Linked DNA regions of Saccharomyces cerevisiae S288C. The gene in region 1 interacts genetically with each later gene. Each region holds a gene or a part of one and is shown on either strand. Other genes may lie near its edges.

The links.
Region 2: of ZUO1 (region 1) and FLO11, changing one suppresses a phenotype caused by changing the other (phenotypic suppression), as found in Saccharomyces cerevisiae (one study listed by BioGRID).
Region 3: of ZUO1 (region 1) and RKR1, changing one enhances a phenotype caused by changing the other (phenotypic enhancement), as found in Saccharomyces cerevisiae (2 studies listed by BioGRID).
Region 4: of ZUO1 (region 1) and RPS31, changing one suppresses a phenotype caused by changing the other (phenotypic suppression), as found in Saccharomyces cerevisiae (one study listed by BioGRID).

Annotation. Positions count from the first base shown.
Region 1 is NC_001139.9:1,059,582-1,066,259, forward strand, and holds ZUO1 (zuotin), read right to left. Parts: upstream 3,573-6,678; coding exon 2,271-3,572; downstream 1-2,270. Other genes in the region: UPA1 (putative methyltransferase), read right to left, coding at 1-459; protein ERV29, read right to left, coding at 1,077-2,009; BIO2 (biotin synthase), read right to left, coding at 4,232-5,359. UniProt on the Saccharomyces cerevisiae protein: Component of the ribosome-associated complex (RAC), a heterodimeric chaperone complex involved in regulation of accurate translation termination and in folding or maintaining nascent polypeptides in a folding-competent state.
Region 2 is NC_001141.2:387,512-396,880, reverse strand, and holds FLO11 (Flo11p), read left to right. Parts: upstream 1-3,205; coding exon 3,206-7,309; downstream 7,310-9,369. Other genes in the region: YIR020C (uncharacterized protein), read left to right, coding at 2,324-2,626. UniProt on the Saccharomyces cerevisiae protein: Homophilic binding protein that enables kin discrimination in heterogeneous yeast populations by mediating homotypic cell-cell interactions during flocculation, a reversible and asexual process in which cells adhere to form aggregates (flocs).
Region 3 is NC_001145.3:761,153-771,459, reverse strand, and holds RKR1 (ubiquitin-protein ligase RKR1), read left to right. Parts: upstream 1-3,420; coding exon 3,421-8,109; downstream 8,110-10,307. Other genes in the region: glutamate decarboxylase GAD1, read right to left, coding at 1-659; YMR247W-A (uncharacterized protein), read right to left, coding at 2,034-2,177; long-chain fatty acid-CoA ligase FAA4, read right to left, coding at 9,569-10,307. UniProt on the Saccharomyces cerevisiae protein: E3 ubiquitin-protein ligase component of the ribosome quality control complex (RQC), a ribosome-associated complex that mediates ubiquitination and extraction of incompletely synthesized nascent chains for proteasomal degradation.
Region 4 is NC_001144.5:497,287-500,043, forward strand, and holds RPS31 (ubiquitin-40S ribosomal protein eS31 RPS31 fusion protein), read left to right. Parts: upstream 1-1,660; coding exon 1,661-2,119; downstream 2,120-2,757. Other genes in the region: exocyst subunit SEC10, read right to left, coding at 1-758; UPS2 (Ups2p), read right to left, coding at 2,292-2,757.

The DNA.
Region 1 (6,678 bases):
GTAGTGTTGTTCGGCAGATGCGTTCATAAAAGGTAGCTGGTTCAATGGCGGAAAGGTAGATGCACACTTTAAATATAACTTGTTTTTTTTTTTGAATGTAGTATCCAGTAAGTTTGGAGGCGTTACAAAATATTGTAATAGTGTGGCAAGTAATAAACAATCAGAGATAGTCTCCTTTGATCTTGATTTTTTTTCATGCTTTTTATCTTTTGACTGGTCTAGAACTATGATTTCTTGAACATTGAACAATACAGCTGTCCGAGCTATTTGATATGCAGTAAATGTAACTTGCTCCAAATTATTACAATTGTCGATAACAGTTGTCGGTATGCATATGGAATATTTGACCACATTAGATTCTATATCCATGATTTTTTTTAGCTTCAATAGGCCTGTCTTTGCCTTTTTGGCAGCCCCCTCTTCGTGCTTAAGGCTCTCGGATTTATGTTTTACTGCCATCTTCCCCTATTATGCTACACTTCCCTTGGTAGATGTGTTTCACCTCATTGGTATCAATTACCTCCTCTACTTAATATCCCAATTTCAACATGGTGTTTTCAAGCGATGAGGTGGAAAAAATTTCAAATAATATGTTTGGGTGTGCCCATTATTGCGGTTTACAATAGTTGCTAAAGAGCTATTTATTAGGAATTTTTAAACTTTAGAGATTGCTTAAAGCGACTTTAAAGCGTTTCTTTGGAAAGATAGGAGAGCGGATGCTATCTCAAGAGCATCTCTTCAATGATTTAAGCAGTGACAGTGTAAAACAATTACGGACCAACGAAAATGGTCAAATCAAAACTAATTACAATAAATAAGTTCTATCATAATACAAGGGAATTCTGTGCGATATAACCACATTGATTGAAGGTAGAATATACAAGCCAACGTGAGACCAATCAAATTTCGTTAAGTGCGCCTATACAAAAAGAAATCTTTTATGTAGATATGACAGTAAGAAAAGTATATATGTGAGCTAGCAGGGTATTGAAAGCGATCACAAGAAGGCAAAACGAAATAGATTGTTAGAAGATGAGTGAACAGAAGGGACATAAAGAAAAGATTTCCTTTACAATCTAGTAAATCTTCTTCTTTTCATCAACGGATAATTCACCAGCGCCAGTATTAGTAACTAATAGAAGCCCACCAATGATGCTTAAGTTCTGGTAAAACTCATACTTCAAGAAATCTCTCTTAGTATTGTTATAAAACCAGTAGTTGTTTAGCGTGATATTGTAAAAAGTTAGTATCAAACCCAACATAATGGATGCGAATTTTGTCTTGTAACCAATGGCGAAACATATTGTGCCGATAATGGTCAAAACAACAGTAAACCATGATTTACTGAAAGTGAAAGCGATAAACATTAAAACAATTAAAATTCTACCAGCAAACAACAGGTAACCCTTCGCTTTGTCGTTTTTGCTGTTTAATTCAGGAAGCATACCGAATGTTGTCTTGTTTTGAACAATTGAATCGCTGAATGCAATTAACAACCCACCAATAACACTAAAGTTTCTTAGGACAAATGATGAACCCGTAAACAACCCATAAACTAATGCTTGAGAAATAACGCAAGCACATAACACACCGGTGGCATAATTGGTTTGCTTTCTTAAAACTAACAAACTGGCGCCAATCAACATGGAAACGGTAACAACCACTAGAAACACAACGACAAAGAAGTATGGGTAATGCTTCCACTTATTCAGATAAAAAATTTGATCTGACCATTGTGATAAGATCCTAAACGAATCTTCATAAAAGGTGGCCACAATGAAAAATCTTGACAAACTTGGAATGTAAGGCTTCAATTTATAAACAACTGCATTGTCAGTGAGCCCCTCAATTCTGGAGGCAAACTTTTCAAAAGAATGCTTCCATTGCTTTAAGATGCCAGAAGTGGATTGGTTCTGGTTTGATCTGAATTGTGCACCGCCAGAGTATGGTCCTTGCGATGATGACATTGGCATACCGCCAAAATTTCCAATAGGTCCTCTGTAAGACATTGATCTATCCTTTCAGTTTTGTTTTCACTTTTTTTGAGTCGTACTAATTGCAGCTATTGTAAGTAAATAAGGACACCTTTGATCTTTCGTTAAAGGTGTCCTTTATTTTTCGCCTTTCTCATTATTCCCTCTTCTCTCATCTTCTAGAAATACCTAAAAAGGGAACCGTTACCCGAACCTATTCATTATAGAAATAAAAGAGAACGTTCTCTATAATATTCGTATACATTCGTATATATTCTATTCCATTTCTTACGGTATTCACACGAAGTAGGACAACAAGCTGGATGGTAGTTTGCCAGAATCGACAATAGTCTTTGCAGATTCCTTCAAAACTTCCTTGGCACCAGCAGCATTGGCCTTGATCTTATCGGCGGTGGACACTAACTCTTCGTCATTCAAACTGTCAACGATCAAACCAACTTGTTCGTCAATCGTGGTGGCCTTGTCAGCATCACCAAAGTAGTCAGCTTCCTTAGCAGAGTTACGGATGGCTCTCTTGTTCTTTTTCTTGGCGGCCTTAGCAGCTTCCTTAGCCTTCTTTTTGTCAGCTTTTGCGGAGGCGTTAGCCTTGGCTTCAGATTCAGCTTTAGCCTTCGCTTCAGCTTCGGCCTTGGCCTTAGCTTCAGCTTCAGCTCTGGCACCGGCTTCTCTTTCCCATTTTCTTCTTTCCTTTTCCTTCTTCTCTTCTTCTTTGAACATTTTGATACGGGGATCTTCACTGACAGCTCTTTCAACAAGTTTGACCAATCTAGCGTTATCAGCAGTCTTCTTCTTGTCTCTTGCGGCCTTGTTCTTTCTTTCAATGTAACGCTTGTGGTCTCTGTTAGAAGAGTCATCTGGGACATCTTCGTCCAAGAACTCAAAGGTTCTCCAGGAGTCAAATCTGTGCCAGAAAGCATAGAATTGTTCAACTTCCTTCTTGGAAGAATCTTTGTTACCTAGAGAAGGAATAGGAGTCTTCTTAGAAAAACGAGCTTCAGCTTCGAAAACGGGGCCCCAAGCTTCATAAAAGTCATAATCGGTACCCTTCTTTGGAGGAGGAACATCGGCAACAAAATCACATGAGTCGTACTGAGCTCTCTTGTTGGAATCAGTCAAAGTTTCAAAGGCCTTTTGAATAATCTTGAAAAAGCCATCTTGGTCCAAACTACCACCAGCAGCAGATTGCTTGTCTGGATGGTACTTGACAACTTGTTTTCTGTGAGCCTTGATGATTTGACTTTCAGTAGCTCTGAAACGCAACTTAGACAAACCCATAGCAGCATACAAATCGGCAGTTTTCCAGTCTCTAGCATCATGAGTCAGTAAATCTTCATCGGCCAATTCAGTGTCGAATAACAACTCATCTGGGTCGACATTGGATTCATCAACGGTTTTGACGTTCTTTTCAGCTTCAATTCTTTCAAATTCAGACCAGGTGTGGTTTCTCAAAGTTCTTTGAGCATGTTGCAAAAAGAACTTACCAACCGGTTCGACCGGACGACGGACGAATGGGGTTTTGGTAGCGGAACTGTTGACTTCAACAGTGATGTCTGAGGTTAGGGTAGGTAAAGAAAACATCGTTACTCTTGTTGGTATATGTGAGACAAAACGAAGATTTTATAAAAGCATCGGTAGGAAAACCTTATGAAATTTTCTCTACCAGCTCTTGAAATAAAAATTTCGAACTCTTTGCAAAATTTCATCGAGAAAAAAAAAAGATTCGTATTTGCGGGTAATATTTTTTGGACATTTGTATTAGGAGCGTTATGTTCATTAATGTCATCCAAAAGATAGTTATAAATCTATGATTGTATGGTTTCTTTGACATATTTATAGTTAATATATATATATATATGTGTTTAATTTTATAAAAATTCCATCGTTTATATTCGATTATTTTTATATGTCAACCTTTTTTTTAAGAAATGTTCATATTTAGTCAAGTTCTTAATGAAATGAACGGTTGAAAGTACAAGGCAACTATCATTTCAAGATATAAAAAAATTGCCCAAAAAAAAAAGGCCATTTGATGAAATGTCTCATCGCGCTACGATTTCTGCTGTAATCAGAACTAAATGCGTGATCGGAAGTAATATTAGATATTGGATGCATAAAAGATAAAACGCCAGCTAACGATGGCAGAATAAATAGGTAAATATATATATATATAGGTTTTCTTAATAAATAAGGGAGAAATGTACAGTTAGAATCGTAGAATTATCCACATATCCCTATCTTCAAGATCTGTCGTACTTAAATGCCTCCATAGGTTGCAATCCCCATTTAGCCAACATTGCCTTGTCTTCGTCCCAACCGTTACACATTGTCGTCAGCATTTTCTTACCGGTGAAGATACTGTTACAACCTGCCATGAAACAGACAAATTGCTCTGTTTCTTTCATTGTATAACGACCAGCGGCAAGTCTTATAATGGCCTTTGGCATAACTATTCTCGCTGTGGCAATGGTTCTCAAAATTTCGTCGAATTGCAACTTTTTACTCTTTGGATCGGCAAGTTCCTCAGCCATTGGAGTCCCTTTGATAGCAACTAGTCTATTAATTGGTAGGGACTCAGGATGAGGAGACATATTGGATAATGTGTAGATGAATCCTATATGGTCGTCTTCGCTTTCACCGAGACCCAAAATACCACCGGTACAGGCTTTTATTCCAGATTCTTGGACATTCTTGATGGTCTGTAACCTGTCGTCGTAGGTTCTCGTGGTGATGACCTTACTATAGTGTTCTCTGGAAGTGTCGATGTTATGGTTGTATGCAGTCAAACCTGCATCTTTCAATTGCTTTGCTTGATCTTGATCAACCATACCTAAAGTAACACACGTTTCTAGCCCCATATCATTCACTTTGGTCACCATTTCCTGAATTCTTTTCATGGCTGATTTACGACCTTTCATGTCTCTCCATGCAGCACCTAGGCAGAATCTAGTAGATCCGTTTCTTTTGGCCTCTTCTGCCTCTTTAATCACTTCATCCACTTTAACCATTTTCTCAGCCTTTAGACCGGTATCGTTTCTCGAAGACTGCGCACAATACTTACAGTCCTCAGAACAACCACCAGATTTGATGTTCATCAATGTGCACAATTGCACTTTGGTTGGATCGTGCCACTTTCTGTGCTGCAATTGTGCTGCATGAGTAAGTTCGAGCAGTGGGGTATGATAAATTTCTTTTAATTGCGATTTTGTCCACGAATGACTTGGTTCATCTAAAGACAATGCATATTGTAGAGCACCCAGAGTACTAGCTTCTGAGGATGCAGTTGTCGATTTAACTGCGGCATTGGTTGCGTATTTAGTTAAAGCCGGTCTAGCGGTAGATAAATGACGGTAGATAGTAGACATCATACTGCACTAAATTGAAAATAATCGGCTAAGTTAGCTCTTCTGAGGACACCACTACCAGAAGAGTAAGATCTGAAAAATTTTCAGCAAGTATGGGAGCAAAAAAAGCTTTGCCCTTTTATATAAGATCTGCCTAAGAGAAGAAATAAAAGATACCAAGAGAATCTAGCAGAGTGGCAAACGAACTACATAGCCTGTAAATACAGATTAGGCAGCAGCGTAGCGGATTTTCCTCAGGCATCGTCTCTCACGTGAAATCTGTGGGGGCACCAGCGTGACAGGGACGGTTCTAATGCTTTGCACTTTTCAACAACTTTTTTCCATAACCAAATGCCGGCAAAATGGCTTCGAAGAAGACGCGAGACTTCATCCGCGAGTCATCTCGACATGACTATCTTTTGCTAGCCAACACGCCCCTCCGCAACTTCCCACGATAAAATTGTAAAGAACAGTACTGATGGACAGAGATTTGCGCAGTGGCATTTTTTGAAAATAAAATGAAAAATTATATATATATATTCCATACATAGTATATAATATGAACTCGTTTGACTTGGAAAATTTTAGATGCAACAGGCAATATCGTTGGGCTTTTTTATTTGATCATTAGCTTATTTGAATATGAAGGTAATGACCAAGGGCTACTAATGTCTTTCTATTAAGCCGTTTTACAATTGTATATTTTGTAATTTGCATCGCAGTCATAACTTCTTGCAAGAAATAGTAGTTTCACACAATGAGGTAGTTTCGTTGGAGATGCAGTAATAATGCAGAATACGGATCTCACGGACCCCAAGAGAAAGCTACGCAATCTTACGGCTTGTAGGTTCTCAGTTCCCAATCGATGCAAAATGGGTAAGTATTTTCAAGACTGAAATAAGGTCGCTTAGAAACGGTTATCCATTTACTATTATCTGGAAGCTGCTTTCCACAGCTACCTACTTTGGAGTAATGGTTTCCGGGAAGACTTCATCCTAGAGCCTCTTGCTGTTGTTATTCGAAGTTCAGATTCGTAAATGGTAGTACGTTCTGCTTTCGCAATGAATAACTAGGTCACATAAGCCCTAAATGCGTCAGTAGAAGATCAGATGCATTGACCACATCATATCCTTCTAAAGTAATTAATTGAGATTTAATATTTTTCGTACTGATGAGAAAGCTAAACTAGTGCAACTATTATAGTCACATTTGTACGGAAAAGGCAGAAGCAAGAACAATGACTTGAAAGAGCGTATAGCTATTTAACCATTTCCATTTGTATGCTATAATTCAAGTATTTCCACACTCTTAACTAAAACGAATCAGAAGAGTAGGCTACTAAG
Region 2 (9,369 bases), on another chromosome or scaffold:
GTCTTCAATTGTCCTACTAAATTCTTTACAGATGACATCTGGGTCTGGGGAGATCATGCAAAAAAATAAGACATCATTTATAACTTTCAACCTTCCGCTCACAGGACAAATTCTCGAAGACGCTACGGAAAGATGCTGAGCTTGATCATAATTCTTCAGGCTCCCAATTCAAGAATACAATTACTTAGCGTGGGTGCTTCTGCTCAGTCTTCGTTTCCTATCTCCACATACCAATCACTCGTTTGTTACTAATTCGAATAATTTACTGCTGTAAGGAGTCGTACCGCCAACTAAATCTGAATAACAATTTGGCTGCTAGAAGTTAAAAAGTAGGCGCTGCAATGATTATGTGGTATGATCAGATTGTGTCGCAACGCTCAGCGGGGTTTTGGCTCAATGGGACCGCTGCTAATAAAACGTTTAACTAGCGAATTTTGGAACACACCGGTTGACAAAAGTATAAGGAGTCTCTTTCCGTGAGTTCCCCTCTTCCTCTCACTGCACTTCAACTATGCCTTATAGCAACCAAGAAGCTAGAAAATGCCAACTATTAAAAAGATAACCTCTTTGGAAGCAAATAAAACGGAGATTATCTTGGGATCTATTTCACAAATTTACGGCTAATTGGAATGAACAGCGCCAAGTAGCACTGGTCAAACTGCAGAGAGTATTAGAACTTGCTTTATTCCGTATATCGTACTTTAGGTCGTCAGTTTTACCACTTCGGTACGCAAATGAAAATGAAAAGCTCATTCACAACTTAGACACAATTTCGCCGTTTACAAGTAGCTGAAAAGTCCATCTATCGAATTATGAATGATACTATTTTAAATATAGTCGTTGCTGCACTCGTTTTCCATGTTCTTTTTATCCACACATCCGATGTTTTACTTACAGTTGAGCATCTCAGGGCCAGCGACAAATATAAACATATTATACTCAAAATGAAGCTCGTTGAAAAGAGGATATTTCTTAACCTCTTTTACAGTGCTTTCAACACCTTTTCATCTGTGTGCCATGTCAGATTAAGGATGCTCAACTTTTCGAATTATTATTACAAATTTCAAAGAAATTACTAGTCCTTTTTGTCCCCTAATGTATCCCTCATTTCATACCGTCGTTTTGGGGTTCCAACTACGTATAGCTTTCAAGTGTGGTTTTACGGTAAGAACAACCCCCCATCGGTTAGTGCGGAATACTTTCCTATTCTCATCGAGAGCCGAGCCATACACCTAAGGTGGACAGAAAGCTAAAATTCCAAAACAGAAAAATCTAACATCTTTGCTCCCTTACAAGTAGGAACGCTAGCGTATCAACCCATCTCCAGATTTGCCCAGCATTTCTGTAGAACACCCAATGCGAATGAAGACTAATGAATATTGTAAAGACAAAAAATAGGAAAAGTTTAATTAGTGATGGTTCTCACCACCCCAAAACGGTCACTTGCATGCATTGAGGACATGCACCTGCAGTACTTGTTTTTCTCGAATGTTTTTTACCATCTCTTTTTTCCTTATCTGAGCTGCTGACGCAGACGGACATTGTTTCATATTTCGAAAGCTGTGCGGGAAAACGGACCCTAACACGAATGTGAATGCGCTAATCGGTATTTCCACCACATGAAACCTGCTACTTTTTCAGTCCTCTTCGTATGCATTTCCCAAAATTCATTCGTAGCCTTGTCAACTTAGACTCAGTTCCACGGCGTGCAGGACGGGGTATTATGAATAAAAGGATCCACGGGTGAGATTTGTTTTATGTTTTAGGTATGGAGTTTTGTACCACAAAACTTTAGGAATACCGGATTGTGTGCCTACGCCAGCCCCAGAGTATGTTCTCACAGCTGTAATTCCTAGTGATCTTTTCCTGACTCCAATAGGAACGCCGGTAGGCAAATTAAACTTTCGCGGCAGGAAAAAAAAGGCTTTTTCTTTTTTGCCTTTCAGTTTCTCGGAATGTGGCATTACATAAGCATAATCCTTTTTGGGTGTGCCTGGAAAGTTCAAATTAAGGTTTTTTTCTTCTGTTTTCTTAACAAGAAAATGTCGCCCAAAGAGTTTCGGCCGTTATTTTCCTATCGAGTGGGTCCTTTTTGTCTTTAGTCCTTCTCTGGGGCTAGCGATCACTGCAAAATTAGGCTTTACTGGTACGAGTTAACTTTTTTTCTTTTTTTTGTCATCCTTTTCTTTGGGGCTAAGAATGGACTTCCCTTTTCTTTTTCTTTGTTGCGACAGTGGCTTCAAAGAACTGCTGATTGCTCAAGGCAATCAGTCCGAGCGTTTAGAAGGTGATTGTAGGCAGAAATTAACTTTGCGGTAAAAGAATGACATTCTTTCTTAAAAGAAAAATTAGCTTTTTTTTGTCAGGCATTGCACAAACTTTTTTATTTCTGCCTATACTCTTAAACAGATCAGTCATTCATGTTGTCTTTTTAACGGTCGTACTGGGACATCGCATACCTTGGGATTCCGTAATTAGGTGCAACAATACGGGCACAACTCATTCTGCGGTATCTTCACGGACAGAACTTCTATTGCCTATCGGTGGTGTGATTAACAATTGGAAGCGCAGAGCTTGGAATGGATTTTCAATTCAATGGATTTGGAGGTATTCGTTTGTTTACTAATATTTACTTTGAGGACATTGCCCAACCCTAAAAGTGCCTGCTCAAGAATAGAATAACATTATGATACGTTTTCTTGACCGCTGAGCAATTTAAAGCAACTATTAGGGTACGATTGTTTCTAGAGAAATGTGGGTCATCTTTTTAGGTCCGTTCTCTTCTGATGAGGTAACCTTTACAAAAATGTCATAGAGTTACCAATTGGGATTCAAGGCATCATCGCAATATACTTCGTTCTTTTACGGAGAAATTAAGCTCTTTCTACTTTGAATTAACTGTTAGACTTGTCTTATCTGAGGAATGTCCGTGTTCGAATTAAATAAAAAATTAGGGCAGTTTTATTTACCTTAACAAATATGTTCAAGCATTTACGTTACTGCGCTCTCTTCTAGTTCAAGAACGGATAACTCATAGACTTACCAGTACAAATTGTTGAAGGGTTCCCAATTGATAAAAAGGATCTCTTGCTTCCTAAAATAAACGTATAAAAAGCACCCTATTCATCAGTTATTATCCCTCGTCATGTTGTGGTTCTAATTAAAATATACTTTTGTAGGCCTCAAAAATCCATATACGCACACTATGCAAAGACCATTTCTACTCGCTTATTTGGTCCTTTCGCTTCTATTTAACTCGGCTTTGGGTTTTCCAACTGCACTAGTTCCAAGAGGATCCTCCGAAGGAACTAGCTGTAATTCTATCGTTAATGGCTGTCCCAACTTAGACTTCAATTGGCACATGGACCAGCAAAATATCATGCAGTATACTTTGGATGTGACTTCCGTTTCTTGGGTTCAAGACAACACATACCAAATCACTATTCATGTCAAAGGTAAAGAAAATATTGACCTGAAGTATCTATGGTCTTTGAAAATCATTGGTGTCACTGGTCCAAAAGGTACCGTCCAACTATACGGTTACAACGAAAATACCTATTTGATTGACAACCCAACTGATTTCACAGCCACTTTTGAAGTTTATGCCACACAAGATGTCAACAGCTGTCAGGTGTGGATGCCTAACTTCCAAATTCAATTCGAGTATTTGCAAGGTAGTGCCGCTCAATATGCAAGCTCCTGGCAATGGGGAACTACATCTTTTGATTTGTCTACTGGTTGTAACAACTATGACAATCAAGGCCACTCTCAAACGGATTTCCCAGGCTTCTATTGGAACATAGATTGTGACAATAATTGTGGCGGTACGAAGTCATCTACCACTACATCTAGCACTTCCGAGTCATCTACCACTACATCTAGCACTTCCGAGTCATCTACCACTACATCTAGCACTTCCGAGTCATCTACCACTACATCTAGCACTTCCGAGTCATCTACATCATCATCAACCACCGCTCCTGCTACACCAACCACTACCTCATGCACTAAGGAAAAGCCTACACCCCCAACCACTACCTCATGCACAAAGGAAAAGCCTACACCTCCTCATCACGACACCACTCCATGTACAAAGAAGAAAACTACCACATCTAAGACATGCACTAAGAAGACTACTACTCCAGTACCAACCCCATCAAGCTCTACTACTGAAAGTTCTTCTGCTCCAGTACCAACTCCATCCAGCTCTACTACTGAAAGCTCTTCTGCTCCAGTAACCAGCTCTACCACTGAAAGCTCTTCTGCTCCAGTACCAACCCCATCAAGCTCTACTACTGAAAGCTCTTCTGCTCCAGTAACCAGCTCTACCACTGAAAGCTCTTCTGCTCCAGTAACCAGCTCTACCACTGAAAGCTCTTCTGCTCCAGTACCAACTCCATCCAGCTCTACTACTGAAAGCTCTTCTGCTCCAGTAACCAGCTCTACCACTGAAAGCTCTTCTGCTCCAGTAACCAGCTCTACCACTGAAAGCTCTTCTGCTCCAGTAACCAGCTCTACCACTGAAAGCTCTTCTGCTCCAGTAACCAGCTCTACCACTGAAAGCTCTTCTGCTCCAGTACCAACTCCATCCAGCTCTACTACTGAAAGCTCTTCTGCTCCAGTAACCAGCTCTACCACTGAAAGCTCTTCTGCTCCAGTACCAACTCCATCCAGCTCTACTACTGAAAGCTCTTCTGCTCCAGTAACCAGCTCTACCACTGAAAGCTCTTCTGCTCCAGTACCAACTCCATCCAGCTCTACTACTGAAAGCTCTTCTGCTCCAGCTCCAACCCCATCAAGCTCCACCACTGAAAGCTCTTCTGCTCCAGTAACCAGCTCTACCACTGAAAGCTCTTCTGCTCCAGTACCAACTCCATCCAGCTCTACTACTGAAAGCTCTTCTACTCCAGTAACCAGCTCCACCACTGAAAGCTCTTCTGCTCCAGTGCCAACTCCATCAAGCTCTACTACTGAAAGCTCTTCTGCTCCAGTACCAACTCCATCAAGCTCTACTACTGAAAGCTCTTCTGCTCCAGCTCCAACCCCATCAAGCTCTACTACTGAAAGCTCTTCTGCTCCAGTAACCAGCTCTACCACTGAAAGCTCTTCTGCTCCAGTACCAACTCCATCCAGCTCTACTACTGAAAGCTCTTCTGCTCCAGTACCAACCCCATCCAGCTCTACTACTGAAAGCTCTTCTGCTCCAGTACCAACTCCATCCAGCTCTACTACTGAAAGCTCTTCTGCTCCAGTAACCAGCTCTACCACTGAAAGCTCTTCTGCTCCAGTAACCAGCTCTACCACTGAAAGCTCTTCTGCTCCAGTACCAACTCCATCCAGCTCTACTACTGAAAGCTCTTCTGCTCCAGTACCAACTCCATCCAGCTCTACTACTGAAAGCTCTTCTGCTCCAGTACCAACTCCATCCAGCTCTACTACTGAAAGCTCTTCTGCTCCAGTAACCAGCTCTACCACTGAAAGCTCTTCTGCTCCAGTACCAACTCCATCCAGCTCTACTACTGAAAGCTCTTCTGCTCCAGTGCCAACTCCATCCAGCTCTACTACCGAAAGCTCTTCTGCTCCAGTACCAACCCCATCAAGCTCTACTACTGAAAGCTCTGTAGCACCAGTACCAACCCCATCTTCCTCTAGCAACATCACTTCCTCCGCTCCATCTTCAACCCCATTCAGCTCTAGCACTGAAAGCTCTTCTGTTCCAGTACCAACCCCATCAAGCTCTACTACTGAAAGCTCTTCTGCTCCAGTATCCAGCTCCACCACTGAAAGCTCTGTAGCACCAGTACCAACCCCATCTTCCTCTAGCAACATCACTTCCTCCGCTCCATCTTCAATTCCATTCAGCTCTACTACTGAAAGCTTTTCTACTGGCACTACTGTCACTCCATCATCATCCAAATACCCTGGCAGTCAAACAGAAACCTCTGTTTCTTCTACAACCGAAACTACCATTGTTCCAACTAAAACTACGACTTCTGTCACTACACCATCAACAACCACTATTACCACTACGGTTTGCTCTACAGGAACAAACTCTGCCGGTGAAACTACCTCTGGATGCTCTCCAAAGACCGTTACAACTACTGTTCCAACTACAACTACGACTTCTGTCACTACATCATCAACAACCACTATTACTACTACAGTTTGCTCTACAGGAACAAACTCTGCCGGTGAAACTACCTCTGGATGCTCTCCAAAGACCATTACAACTACTGTTCCATGTTCAACCAGTCCAAGCGAAACCGCCTCGGAATCAACAACCACTTCACCTACCACACCTGTAACTACAGTTGTCTCAACCACCGTCGTTACTACTGAGTATTCTACTAGTACAAAACCAGGTGGTGAAATTACAACTACATTTGTCACCAAAAACATTCCAACCACTTACCTAACCACAATTGCTCCAACTCCATCAGTCACTACGGTTACCAATTTCACCCCAACCACTATTACTACTACGGTTTGCTCTACAGGTACAAACTCTGCCGGTGAAACTACCTCTGGATGCTCTCCAAAGACTGTCACAACCACTGTTCCTTGTTCAACTGGTACTGGCGAATACACTACTGAAGCTACCACCCTTGTTACAACAGCTGTCACAACCACCGTTGTTACCACTGAATCCTCTACGGGTACTAACTCCGCTGGTAAGACGACAACTGGTTACACAACAAAGTCTGTACCAACCACCTATGTAACCACTTTGGCTCCAAGTGCACCAGTAACTCCTGCCACTAATGCCGTACCAACTACAATAACCACTACTGAATGTTCTGCTGCTACAAACGCTGCCGGTGAAACTACATCTGTATGCTCTGCTAAGACTATCGTAAGTTCTGCAAGCGCAGGCGAAAACACTGCACCTTCGGCTACCACCCCTGTCACGACGGCTATTCCAACCACAGTTATTACCACTGAGTCATCTGTTGGTACTAACTCCGCTGGCGAAACAACAACTGGTTACACAACCAAGTCCATCCCAACCACTTACATAACCACTTTGATTCCAGGTTCAAATGGTGCCAAGAATTACGAAACTGTGGCCACAGCAACCAACCCTATTTCAATCAAGACTACATCCCAACTAGCTACAACAGCTTCTGCTTCTAGCGTGGCTCCCGTTGTCACATCTCCATCTCTAACTGGTCCACTACAATCTGCTTCTGGTTCTGCAGTCGCTACATACTCTGTTCCTTCTATCTCGAGTACTTACCAAGGTGCTGCTAATATCAAGGTTCTTGGAAACTTTATGTGGTTGCTACTCGCTCTTCCAGTTGTATTCTAATGATACAATTCCAACATGTTCGTTTCTTCATTACGATGTTTTCATTCTTAAATTAAGATATTATTTCGATACCCTCTTTACTTTCTTCCACCATTCTGTTTTCGCTGCCATAATTTTGTAAGGCAGAAAACTACCCGTAGAATACATATTCATTTACATATTTTTTAGTTCTTCAAAAATTATCTTTTACCTTTTTTTACTTTATTTTACCATTTTTCTTCTAGCCCTATTTTGACCATCTGATAGCTTATTCAAGAACAAGTACCGGTAGTATTGGCACCGCGCCACTTTTCCCTCTCGCTTTTTTTTTTTTTCTTTTTGCCAAGCGCCTGCACGTTCTTTTGTCTGGAGTCTTGGAAAATGATAACCACCAAAAATCATCCCACGGACGGCTTGAGTAAAAATGTTTTTCCGCGAGACGGAAAGAGACGTAACAACCTTACATTTTTCCTAAAAGATTAATAAACCTGATATTGCCTTGGCACAACTAATAATCTTCGACCAGGCTTTGATGAATAAGAGGATCTTTACAGGCACCTTTGCTCTTTGAACAAAGAATATTTCCTTCTTTCTATGTGAGTTTACTGGAGTAATGCTTATATTATTCGCGTCCCCCCACGCTAACCTTAATGTGCCTAGATATCATGGGTTATTTAATGACAAGTCCGCTAGTGTCATCAACCCACTCTGTCTTTCATTTAAGATTCGCGAGATAGAACGACATCTTCAATTTAAACTTTTTAGGTGACGTTTCTCTTCTTTATTTCCTAAACAGAGCACCGAGACTTACGATTTTGGCGGGCCAACCTTAAAAAAAAGCTAAAAAAGTTAAATTTTGACATGAAGTCTCGTTAGAAATTCTTGAGGACGATGTAGATTTCCACGATTGATCCTCTCTTCAGGGCCGATTGTCTTCGCTCAGAAAATTCCGGAGTAGAAAAAACAACGTTGCCTGTTCTGATTGACCAAGGCTTCTGTACGAAAAGGGGTCTTCCTTTTTCGTACAGAAGATATTACTAATTTCGGTCCGAAATTCTAGTGCTCTTCGGACTGTATTCACGAAAAAAAGCCTCTTTTTTCTGAGAATGAACAGAAAAAAGGATGCGGCAAGATCCGGTAAGAAAGAGGTAGTTCCCCGCGTGCACTAACTACCCCGGTATATTTTGCTTATGTAAGCATATTTAGATAATAAATAGATATAGAAGAAAAAAGGGGCCCGCCTTTTTATCTTAGAAGATCACAGAGTTCTTAGCAGTTGATTTTCACAGTATGGGGTCAAATTTCACATCAAAAATACCTTAAAGGGGAAATAATTCGAAACATCTTTCCTTCCTTTGTAATGCAGATGACATGAAGTAATCGGAAGAAACTTTAATTGTCATGCCACTCTCTCACTGTCCTTCTAACGCTACAGTAGCGTTGATCTCTATGTTACAGGCTCTAATTAATTTTTTATTAATGTTTTATTTTTATTGTTGCGATGGCAATGAGTACACGTCCTAATAAGAAATAAGGTTAGAGCCTGAAATTCGTAAGGACATTAGAAAAAAAAAATAATAAAGGAAAAAAAAGAAATGTCCCCGATGTCCGAAATGGATCGTTATGCCGTATTACCGGTCCAGATTTACCTACTTCCCCTAAACGTATTACAATAAGTGCCGGGTCCTTCTTACTAGAGGTTAAAGAGGGTATCGCTGTCGGCGATTGATGGTACATATCTCTTATAACAGAATGGTTTGAAAAATCCGAAGGATGAAAATAACATACCATGTCAATTTTTATTGCGTAATTGCGAGATAGAATGTTGCCGATTGAAATCGACCACTCTCATACATTGGCAACTCAATATAGTACGCCAAGAATTGAGGAAGTTTCCTGAAATGACATACTTGATTTACACGGTTAAGAAAGAGTTTCCACTTTTCTAACCGCGTAAATCAAATGAGGGTACAGACCACAGTGACTTTCTATTTCCGGTATTTACAGCACTGACATATGTGAGGCTTATCGCAAAAACTGTTTACAGCTGCAGAGCAGCAAAGAAGTTGACACAAGGATAC
Region 3 (10,307 bases), on another chromosome or scaffold:
TCAAGCATATGATGGCTTCTGTGGGATACCGGAACCAATCGGCATTCCACTTCAAAATATCTCGTAAACTTCTCTAATGCCACTTGGCACGCAGAAGACATTATAATGTTCGGCTTGGAAGCATCTTTACCAGCATTCTTCATTCTGTGTTCCCATCTTTTTTTCATGGCGAGTCCACCCAACATGATTGCCTCACTAGAACCTGTGGTGGCACAGCCTATTGGTTCTTCATCGGGATTAGCGTGCCATAATTGAGCTAGCATAGAAATACAACGCTGAGTTAGCTCAATTAATTGCGGATATTCATCATTGTCAGCAAGATTTTTGGTCAAATTTTCATCAATCAATTTCCTTGCCTGATCAGTGGTAAAAGTGTTCACGAAACTGGCAAGGTTCAAATGCGGATTACCATCAAGTGTTAATTCATTATGAATCAGTTGGTAAGACAAATCAGCAGGTAGTCCCTTTTTTGGAACTGAATACTTATTAGCCATGCCCTGAGACGAAGTATCTCTCATATTGTTCGATCCTTGATGACCACTTTGGACAGCGGATTTTTGAACGTCGTTAGAAAGCAATTGCAGACCTGCAAGGTCGTGGACAACTTTTCCAGCGATATTCTCGAAGTTCTTCTGCTTAGAACCGTGCCTGTGTAACATTATTCCTTGTTTTGTTCAGCCTGGATTGTTAAGAGCGACGTGTAATATCTTGAAACATTTTAGCATCGCCAAAAGGTGAGATTTCAGAGAGTGCGTTGCAGTTCAGTGGTCAATTATGCTCTCTTATATATGTATTTATGTTGCATCACTTTACTGATCCCCTTTTTCTGGTGTGCCGCACGATCTATCCCTTTTCCTTATAGAGTTCAACCTTGCTGTTAAGGGTGAAAAAAAAAAAATAGTAAAATAATGAATTTCTAATTCACTCTGATGAACTTAATAATCACAAGAATGCCTAAATTGACGTGTATTTATATGCTGCTCTTATGCAACTCTTGCTCTTAATTTGTCTAACTTGCCAGAAAGATTATTTATAAACGCAGTGAACAAGAATTTGAACAGCCCATATACTATGAACTTCTTTACTTTCACACGTTGTACATTTGCTATCGCAAATGAGATGATTTGATTATTTGAAAAATGTCAAGAACCAACTAGAATTTACCAGCATCAGCGCCTAGGAACCCGGGAAGGTACACTCTTCTAAACGAGACTGAGCATCACTGTTACTCGAGATACTTCCAAGAAAACAAAGTATAAACGGCAACCTGCGTGATAAAAACTATCTGAACACGTAGATGCGGCTACATATATAGAAAGTCAGCAGTTGATTCCGGAAGAATCCAGAGTACTATATGGTAGACTGGATTTATCTGTCCATATTTGCGGGCTTGATATTCGGATAGCATTGAGGCAGAGACAATATACAGTTTTTGGGTTAATTCTTGGCCTTGTGCTATAGCTAGCACGTCGTCGAATCCTAAGACCTTGTTTGAAAAGAATCGTCCAAAATGGGAGAACTGGCGCCAATGAATAAACCAGACGAAGGTATCACGAACATGTGCCAAAGCTTGTACCGGTACCAAATTATGCGAATGTCAGTCAGTAACAATGTCAGACCCTACTATCAACCCAGATGTAGCTCAAGTGGAACCTACTGTTCTCTCAAGCTTTTTAATAGAAACGCTCATAGAATATCATAGAGAGTTCAATAATAGCGGTATCATAGTTTATCTGATAACGTGCAAACTGTCCTGATCATGAAGCGGAGTTGAATGACAGGGTGATGGAATTGATGGCTAGTTGCTTTCGTATGCCTCGGTATAGGCATGCTAATGACACCCTAGGGTGGCTATTAGTATGTTGCAATGCCGAGAGGAGGTTGAATAACAATACCATTACATCAGCCGATAATATAGTGCATTGTATCAGCAAAATTAAGCAGTCAATTTATTTTTTTATCATTTAATGGCGATGGTTGGATAATTGTCTAAGAACAGTATTGAGTATTGCAATAAACCACTAAGGTTAGCCTCACGGCCAAACTATGTTGGTATCACTGTTACTAACAAGGTGGTTGTGTACGTGAAGGCAGATTGGCCTCAGAAGGCTCTTACCATTAAATAACAAGGCCATTATTCCACTCAATAGCTTGGCACTTGCACATTTGTGTGCCATTTACACTGAATGATTCATCTTTTTGATATCATGCAATATAATAATACAGGTGATAGAATGCGAAAAGCACGGGAAATAGGTGACTTTTGAGATAGTTGTTGAATACCATTTCCATAACAATACAATTTGGACAACATTATCTTATACCGAATATACCTTAAGTTTTACTCGAAAATATAGGAATCCATAAAAGGATCGATGATTCTTCATAATAATATTATGGTTTCTCGTTCCACTTTATATGTTGTCACTCATTATCCTATTGCATTATCAAGTCGTGCGTTCCACCCCCATTAAATTTGATGGCAGCTTTTAAATCTTTACCTTTATGCCATATTTCTACGTCGTATATGTAATAAGATGGATGCTAGACTATAGGGGGTAGGTGGTTCCTCTTCCGACATGTAGAGAATGTGGATTTTGATGTAATTGTTGGGATTCCATTGTGATTAAGGCTATAATATTAGGTATGTAGATATACTAGAAGTTCTCCTCGAGGATTTAGGAATCCATAAAAGGGAATCTGCAATTCTACACAATTCTATAAATATTATTATCATCGTTTTATATGTTAATATTCATTGATCCTATTACATTATCAATCCTTGCGTTTCAGCTTCCACTAATTTAGATGACTATTTCTCATCATTTGCGTCATCTTCTAACACCGTATATGATAATATACTAGTAACGTAAATACTAGTTAGTAGATGATAGTTGATTTTTATTCCAACACGACAATCATGAGTAATTACTTGATAGTGGATAGTAAGTTTTGATAGACACTTCCATTTTAAACTGATTTCACTTTTTACAGTGGCTAGAAATTACAATAAGAAATGGGCGTGTGGCGTAGTCGGTAGCGCGCTCCCTTAGCATGGGAGAGGTCTCCGGTTCGATTCCGGACTCGTCCAAATTTTTTGCTACTTTGCAATTAGTGTAACTTCATATTTAAAATTATAGTTAATCAAGAACAGAATATCGTCACAATGCTCTTTAAATGTTACGTACTTCTTACCTCCAGCTTGACTATATACTTGTCAATTCGAGTTAACCCAGATTATGCCCCAACATGGAAAACTGAAAAATATTGATGAAGCGAGGAAAAAAAACGTCATAGGAAAAATTCAAATGTTGCAACTTCAGATGGTTTTCTTCAATATATACAATACTGAAGAAGTCCTTCTTAATAGTTCAAATCTGCTAAGCCATCAAAAAAAGTTCAAGCAATAGTTGGTTCTTAATGTCGTTTGGTGGAATCAATACATTTCAACAGTATAACACAGATTTAGGGCTCGGCCATAATGGTGTTAGAATATCCTTAAACTACTTTGATGGTTTGCCGGATCCAAGTCTTTTAAACTCCTTGTACTCGAACGAGCTGAAACTCATTTTCAAATCTCTTCTGAAAAGAGATGAAACTACAAAAGAAAAAGCTTTAATGGATCTTTCCAATTTGATCAGCGACTTTAACCAGAATGAGTACTTTTTCAATGACATTTTTCTTCTTTGTTGGTCGCAGATATATGCTAAACTGATAATTAGTGATTACAAGGTCATCAGACTGCAATCACATCAAATTACTATAATGCTTGTCAAAAGCCTTCGGAAGAAAATATCGAAGTTTTTAAAGGATTTTATACCTTTGATACTTCTCGGTACATGCGAACTCGATTATAGTGTTTCCAAACCTTCTCTTAATGAATTAACAGAGTGTTTCAACAAAGACCCAGCAAAAATTAACGCCTTATGGGCTGTTTTTCAAGAACAACTATTGAATTTAGTAAAGGAGATTGTTGTAAACGAGAATGAAGATACCATTTCTGATGAACGTTACTCCAGTAAAGAAGAATCTGAGTTTAGATACCACAGAGTTATAGCAAGTGCCGTATTGCTGCTGATTAAGCTTTTTGTTCATAACAAAGACGTCTCAGAACGTAATTCTTCCAGTCTTAAGGTGATTCTTTCTGATGAGTCAATCTGGAAACTACTTAACTTAAAAAATGGGCAAAATACAAATGCCTACGAAACAGTTCTTCGATTGATTGATGTTCTTTATACAAGAGGTTACATGCCTTCCCACAAAAATATAATGAAGTTAGCGGTGAAAAAACTATTGAAATCGTTGACTCATATTACGTCAAAGAATATTCTAAAAGTATGCCCTGTTCTCCCATCAATACTGAACCTTTTAGCTACCTTGGATGACTATGAAGATGGGACAATATGGTCATACGATAAATCTTCTAAAGAAAAAGTACTCAAATTTTTATCGGTTTCCCGTACTTCACCATCGCCAGGATTTTTCAATGCTGTGTTTGCATTGTACAGCTCGACTAAAAGACACAGTTTTCTTGATTATTATCTTGAATGGCTTCCATTTTGGCAAAAATCGGTGCAAAGACTGAATGAAAAGGGCTTTTCTGCGAGAAACAGCGCTGAGGTTCTTAATGAGTTTTGGACAAATTTTTTGAAGTTCGCTGAGGATTCATCAGAAGAAAGAGTGAAAAAAATGGTGGAAAGTGAGATTTTTAACTCTCTGTCTTGCGGGAAATCTTTATCTGAGTACACAAAACTGAACCAGACTCTTAGTGGCGTCTTTCCACCCGATAAATGGGAGAGAGAGATTGAAGATTACTTCACTTCAGACGAAGACATAAGAAAAATAAAGGTGAGCTTTGAGAAGAATCTTTTTGCTTTATTGGTTACTTCTCCTAATAACGAATCCGCAATTAGTCGTTTATTCGATTTTTTTGTGCAATTAATCGAAACAGATCCCTCAAATGTTTTCAACAAATACGACGGTGTATATGATGCTCTCAATTACTTTTTAGATTCAGATATGATTTTCTTGAATGGGAAGATAGGGAAATTTATAAACGAAATTCCAACGTTGGTCCAAGAATCAACATATCAAAACTTTGCTGGTATCATGGCACAGTACTCAAACTCCAAATTTTTCAAAATGAATACTGACGCGATTACTTCGTTGGAAGACTTTTTTATCGTTGCGCTTTCTTTTAACTTACCAAAGACAATAATTTTAGCCACAATGAATGAGTTGGACAATGATATTTATCAACAATTAATGAAATCAGATTCCCTAGAATTAGAATTGTACATTGAAGACTTTATGAAAAATTATAAGTTTGACGACAGTGGGGAAATATTTAAAGGTAATAATAAATTTTTAAATCAAAGGACTATCACCACACTTTACCGAAGCGCAGTTGCCAATGGCCAAGTTGAACAATTTTGTGCTGTTTTGTCTAAATTAGATGAAACTTTTTTTTCAACGTTATTGCTGAATACCGATTTTCTTTCTTGTGCATTGTATGAAGTTTCAGAAGACACTAATGAGAAACTATTCAAGTTGTCATTACAGTTGGCTAAAGGGAATTCTGAAATCGCTAATAAGTTGGCCCAAGTGATTTTGCAACATGCTCAGGTTTATTTCAGCCCCGGGGCAAAAGAAAAATATGTCACACACGCCGTGGAGCTAATTAATGGCTGCAACGATACTTCTCAGATTTTTTTTCCCGCTAACGCAATCGAAGTTTTTGCCAGATATATGCCAGCAATTGATTATAGGTCATCCTTAGTGAGCAGCTTAAGTACTAACACGCATTTGCTCCTTACAGATGATAAGCCTATCAATTTAAAAAATATGCAAAAGCTCATCAGGTATGCTCTATTCTTAGATGCCCTACTTGATGCTCTTCCAGAGCGCGTTAATAACCATATTGTTGCATTTATAACTGTAGTTTCTGAGCTCGTCACTGATTATAATTGCCTTTCAGAGGAACCAAATGATCTTTACTATGATTTTGGGCATACCTTTTTCAAACATGGCAAAGTAAATTTGAACTTTTCTGATATTGTTGGAAACGTTATTCAGCCTGCTAATGGTGGTGATGCTATGCTTACTTTTGATATTGCTGAAAGTAATTCTGTCTACTTTTTTTATTATTCAAGAGTATTATATAAGGTTCTATTGAACAGCATTGATACTGTTTCATCCACCACATTAAATGGGCTATTAGCATCGGTTGAAAGTTTTGTCACGAAAACTGTGAGGGATCAAAAATCTACTGATAAAGATTATCTCCTATGTGCTATATTACTATTGATGTTTAACAGGTCCAACTCAAAAGATGAGATAACGAAATTAAGGACATTGCTGGCATCTCAATTGATTGGGATTAGAGAAGTAGAACTTGTCGATCAAGAATTCAAGTCGTTAGCTCTTTTAAATAATCTGCTGGATATCCCACAGGCAGATAAACAGTTTGTTCCTATAGCACCGCAGAGACTGAACATGATATTCCGTTCAATACTAAAATGGTTGGATAGTGATCTTGCCTACGAGCCTAGCTTTAGCACCGTTAGATTGTTACTACTAGATTTTTTCACCAAACTGATGAGGTTTGAAGGAGTCAGAGATATGGGCATAACAGCTTTTGAACTTTCGGAAAGGTTGCTGGCAGACTCTCTATCGATGTGTCAAATTGATGACACTTTATATTTGTTAGAACTTCGCTCTTCCTGTTTGAACTTATATGAAACATTGTCGCAAGGCGTTTCCAAAAATGGCGAGGAAATCTCAGAATATGGTGATGAAATTCAAGAAAATTTGATTGAACTGATGTTTCTCAACTTTAATCAAGAAAGAAATAACCAAGTATCCACACTCTTCTACCAGAAATTGTACAAGGTCATTTCCTCAATGGAACTCAAAAAGTTAGAATCTCAATACAAAAGAATATTCGAGGTTGTATTGAATGATAAGGATATCGGTAGTAATATTAATCAATCAAGATTATTAACTACTTTGTTGGGTTCTTTGGTGGTAAAAACACAGCAGGATATTATAATTGAGTATGAACTGAGGATTCAAAAACAAACTGGCTCAGACGTAGATGGTAGTGCATCTGATAATGATGTAAACTCAAAATTTAAACTACCTCAAAAATTATTACAAAAAGTTACTGATGAGGTGCCAAAAGAATACCTTGAATACGAGAATAAAAATTCATTTATTAAATATCTATGGTATTGGCACTTGATACTGATGTACTTCAAAGATACGTCTTATAATATGAGACAAATATTTATTGAACAATTAAAGGAAGCTGGTTTAATCAATAGAATGTTTGATTTCATAACAGATCAAATAGATTTAAGAGATACTGAGTTTTGGAAACAGGTCGACACCAAGGAAATTTCGGAATACAACATTGTCGGCAATAATTTCTCTCCTTATAAAGAAGACATATTTGAAGAATGTAAAAAACTTTTGGGCCATACACTTTATCAGTTGTTTAACAACGTCGGTTGTCTAACGAGTATTTGGTGGTTAAATATAAAAGATAGGACATTACAAAATGATATTGAAAAGTTTGTCTCAGAGTTCATCTCCCCAATTTTGATCAAAAATGAATTTGACGATATCAATTCTAAGATGGACCGCCTGACTTCTAATGATGATGCTTTGACTATTAAATTAAATAATATTACTAATGAAGTGAAGGCAAGCTATTTGATTGACGACCAAAAGTTGGAGATTTCCTTCAAACTACCAAAAAACTACCCTTTAACAAATATCCAAGTTAATGGCGTCTCTAGAGTTGGTATAAGTGAACAAAAATGGAAACAATGGATAATGTCTACACAACATGTAATTACAGGCATGAATGGATCCGTTTTGGATTCGTTGGAGTTGTTTACTAAAAATGTGCACTTACAATTTTCTGGTTTCGAGGAATGTGCCATATGTTACTCTATACTACATGCCGTGGATAGGAAACTACCTTCGAAGACATGTCCGACTTGTAAAAATAAGTTCCACGGAGCATGTCTTTACAAGTGGTTTCGATCATCGGGTAACAATACATGTCCATTATGCCGTAGTGAAATTCCATTTAGAAGGTAGACTATCGCATATAAATTTCATATAAATGTACTACATTTTTTAAACAAAGTTCCTTTTATTATTGTGCTCTCTTACAAATTATACAATCCAGCCCTATACCTTGCCAATCCAGCCCATCACCCGGATATTCTGGAAATTTTTTCTCTTCAGGATTTTTTCAGGATAAAAATCGAACTTGAAAGAAGAATGGTTTTTAGTTCAGGCCTTGTTTTCAGTTTTTAGCTACTAAAAGAGGGATAACCATTGATGAAATTCTATTGAATGTCCCCAATTTTCGGAAAAGGACTGCACCGAAATATTTCAATCAAAATCATTTATCGTTTTGTTTAGCTATTTTTTTCTCAAATTATCACTCTTTTCTTCCTTTTTCATTCTCTCAATTGTTCTTTTTATTTGAGGAAATTTGATTGTATTGCATATACAACTATGCGATGCACTTTGTTCATTTTAACTTTGGATATATGTGCCTTGCTATGAACGCGTTCATTTTTAAGTGACCGGACCCTAAAATATTCAGGTAGCATGACGGAAGCTATGAATTAATCCTGGTGGAGGGGTGTGTTCAGTTTGAGGGAGGATGATAAAATGGAACGGAGATTGCAAGGAGACGTAGAAAATAAAGTAGGAGCAAATGGATTTTCTGCTTGGCGGTATAGCACGTTTGAGTTTTTCAGTCGTGTCTATGTTCAGGTTTATGATATGCTGTGGTTGATTCTGTTGATTCACACGTTTCGCTTCCATATAGTGTGTTAACGGAAACTCCATGTTAAGGTTTATTATAAGAAAATTTTTTGAATTTGTTCTTTTTATATTGGTTTACTCTCCTCGTGATTTCTTTTCTTTTTTTATCGTCATCCTCTCTGAATGTATTTATTACGCATGGCTTTTATTCATTGCTTTCTAACTGTGATGGGAGTTTTTTTCTTGTTGCATAAATGAACGTGGGCGAGGTTTTTATTTTCAAACTTGGTGTACTATAGTGCAATGCGTTGTTAATTGTAATACGATGTTTCTTCGATAAAAGGAGCGGAGGGAGAAGGTGAAATTACGAAGGAAAGAAAGAGATGAGAAATCAAGAATGAAGCAAGACATTGATTGATATGGTTGTTTTCGGTGCATGTTTGATTACTAAAAGTTGGGGCATTCGATGGTTTACAGAAGTCATAAATTCAAATATCCCGTTTAATCGCTCATCTATTAAAATCAATAGTAGAATGTAGTTTCATACCCGGGAGAAATTCATAGTTTAGATCACGCTTAATAATGTCAATCTTGTCTTGCTGAAATGAAACTTAAACATGTTTATGTGTAATGTTATTTATTAATTATTAACTGTATCTGTAGGAGAAGAAACTATGTATTGTGCAAGTAGTTCAGGTGTTTGCAAATTGATGCTCTTAGAAAATGAAACGTAGTGTTTATGAAGGGCAGGGGGGAAAGTAAAAAACTATGTCTTCCTTTAAGTGTTTTCTTTATAAACTCTTTCCACATCTGGCTTGACAGCCGCTAGAATATCTCTTCTCTTTAATTTTTGGGCGGATGTAACAAGGCCATTTTCTGGAGTCCATTCTTCTTCAAAGAAAACAATGCCACATAATAATTCAATACCATTCAAGCCTTGAGATTTGGCAGTTGACAGCATATCTTTGCAAACGGCATCCTGTAGCTTCTTTTCATGGATATAGCTTTCGACATCTTCACCTGGTACCATTATACCTAATTCGATAGCCAGCTTAGACAAGTGTCCTAAGTTAGGGACCACAATACCGACAGGCTTAACTTTGTTTTCATCAGCGTAGACACAGATGTTTTGGACGTAAGGATTTGATCTGTAAATGGATTCTAATTTTTCCAATGCAATGTACTCACCATTTAAGGTCTTAACCAAATTTTTCTTTCTATCAATGATCTTAACTTGTCCCTTGGGGGTCCATTCAGCGATATCACCGGTACGGAACCAGCCATCATCGGTAAAGGCCGCAGCAGTTTCTTCAGGATTCTTATAGTATTCAGAACAGATGGGTGCACCCTTAAACAGCAATTCACCTTGATTATTCTTGGCAAAATAGCCCAAATCTTCGACATCCACCAATTTAGCTGTAATAGTTCCGACAAGGTCACCAGCAATACCGTAATCAAAATGTTCAGGCTCCAGGACACAGGCATTAGCCACACCCTCAGTTAGCCCATATCCAATG
Region 4 (2,757 bases), on another chromosome or scaffold:
TCATTTAATTTAGTAAAATTATTCTCTCTATATGCAGAATTAAAATTCTCTAACAGCTCATTTTCCATCATTTCAGAGTACTTTTCAATAACCAGCTTTGTGTTTATTGTTTTTGGTATTGAACTTGTCTCTAGTTTGGATGATAATATCAATAGATTCTTCATTAATTTCACGGACTTTAAGTTTAATTTCCAGTTTTTAGACAGCCTTAATTGTTCAACAATATCTGATTTTCCCATGGAATAAAAGTCATTGTACCTGCGAATCAATTCCACACTTTGAATATAGTTTTGCTTTTTCTTGATTGCGGTTTCTAATTTATCTCCCAATGGCGAAACAACTTGAGTAACATTTGTCAAGCGATCATCTAGCTTGTCGAATGTAAGTAAAGTAGTATGCAAATCCTTGGATAATTTTATCACATTCTCCGAATGAATAACTTCCTGAGTAGCCACTTGCTCGGAAAAATACTGTCTTTTATTTAGTGTTTCCTCATTTAAGTTTTTTAGTTCCTTTAAGGTAGATTCAAAAGTTCTAATGTAAGGTTTTGGATCTAATTGTTTCCAAATAGCCTCTCTGATTGCATCCTGATCCTTTTCATTGGTTGGAAGATTTTTCGTGTTTGCATCAATCAACACGTCATTACGATGGTCTTTGCTCAATTCCTGAACGAATTCATTGACTGTTAATCCGCCCAGGAAATTGTCCGTTTTCAATAGTTTCTTCCATTTCGGATCGAGTTCATATAATGAGTTCATGTTGTAACACCACTTGATGACAAAGCAAATTTGCTCAATTTTCTATATCCCTTTAATGCATGAACGGTTCTTTATTTTGTTTTCTGTCGACATTCTAGTTTTTCGGAATCTCAAAATAATTAATTACATATACGTACATAAGTAGCCCAGATAAACAAAAATACCTTAAAAAAGAGTTACTAGCCGTATATGGATGTTTGAAGATACATGGAAACCGTCTCTGGTGTCGTGTATATAAGAAACTTCTAGTTTTATTCAGACGCACTCATTATCTTTGCTACATAACATTTCTCTCTGATTTGACTGCGCATCTTACCCCTCCCCCATGCATGTGGAGTCATAGGAGTAATTTTAAAGGTAGAATTTCATATTAAATATCGCTGCTTGATTATTTTGTAGCAAATCAAAAGAGTGTTTCAAGTAAGTAAAAACATTTGAGCCTCCCCATTTGTTGAAAGGAGAGAAATTAAACTTGGTTGGGGTTAATTATTTGATGGGTATATTAATTTGCAACCGCAAGGTATCGATAATAAATATTCTACAAAACCTTTATCAATAGTGGTGAAGTCTTTAGTGCGATCTACCTGGGGTTAATGAACGAGAAGTTCTTGAGATATCTTTCCTGTTTACCTCCGTGCATCCTGTAAGGAATTGGGTTTATCATTTATCATTTATTTTAGTACAAACTTTTTTTTTTGGCCCGGGCGCACTTTTTCAAGCGGTGGGAACTCATCAAAATGAAAAACTAGATACTTTTAGACTTATTAAATGGTTTAAATATTTTGAGATGTTCGTTATATCAGAAACTTCCTTACTTCTATCTTTTATTCCAATACAAAGAAGTCACAAGATTACTTGGTAAGAAAGAAGCAGTTAATTTTTAATTTTGCCGACAAGCCAAGATGCAAATTTTCGTCAAGACTTTAACCGGTAAGACTATTACCCTGGAAGTTGAATCTTCTGACACTATTGACAATGTCAAGTCCAAGATCCAAGACAAGGAAGGTATTCCACCTGACCAACAAAGATTGATCTTTGCTGGTAAGCAATTGGAAGATGGTAGAACTTTGTCCGACTACAACATCCAAAAGGAATCTACTCTACACTTGGTCTTGAGATTGAGAGGTGGTGGTAAGAAGAGAAAGAAGAAGGTCTACACCACCCCAAAGAAGATCAAGCACAAGCACAAGAAGGTCAAGTTGGCTGTCTTGTCCTACTACAAGGTCGATGCTGAAGGTAAGGTTACCAAATTGAGAAGAGAATGTAGCAACCCAACTTGTGGTGCTGGTGTTTTCTTGGCTAACCACAAGGACAGATTGTACTGTGGTAAGTGTCATTCCGTCTACAAGGTTAACGCTTAAGTAAAGTATTTTTAAAACTTATATATTTTAATTGATCGTTAAATTTTGAAAAAGGCTTTTAATATTGTCATTATTTACTTTTCTATTTACAACAAAAGAACAAATGAATAGATAGACAGTAGAGGAATATAAGTAGTATGCAGTGCCATGCGGGATCAAGGAATTTGTATCTCTAATTTTCGTGGTTGTATGCGTCTCTAAACAAGTCAATATTTTGCTGTAAGATGGTTCTGCCGCTCCTTTCAGTTCCTTTAAGAAGCGTACCTGCAGATATTTTAACATCCTCCATGGTTTCATTGACTTTACTGACAAGTTGATTGCTCAAGTCATCAACATGTTTTTCCCAATTTTCACTAAATACTTGCAAAACAGCATCGAATCCCATTTTACCCTTTTTAGCGTTCTCGCAAAACCTTTGAACTGACCAATCTTCCATCTTATTACACAGCTTTCTAATGGATCCATATGCTGTAATTTGGGCTTCCTGCTGGAAAAGTGTTTTATTAGCCGAGTCATCGGGATGCGGGCTATATGTTACAGTTTCGTAGACTTTTAATAGATTGCACATCGTTAAATTACAGCTTCTCATGGTCAAGCTCTTTTTATTTAAGTCTACCACAGAAACTTCTCTGACATGA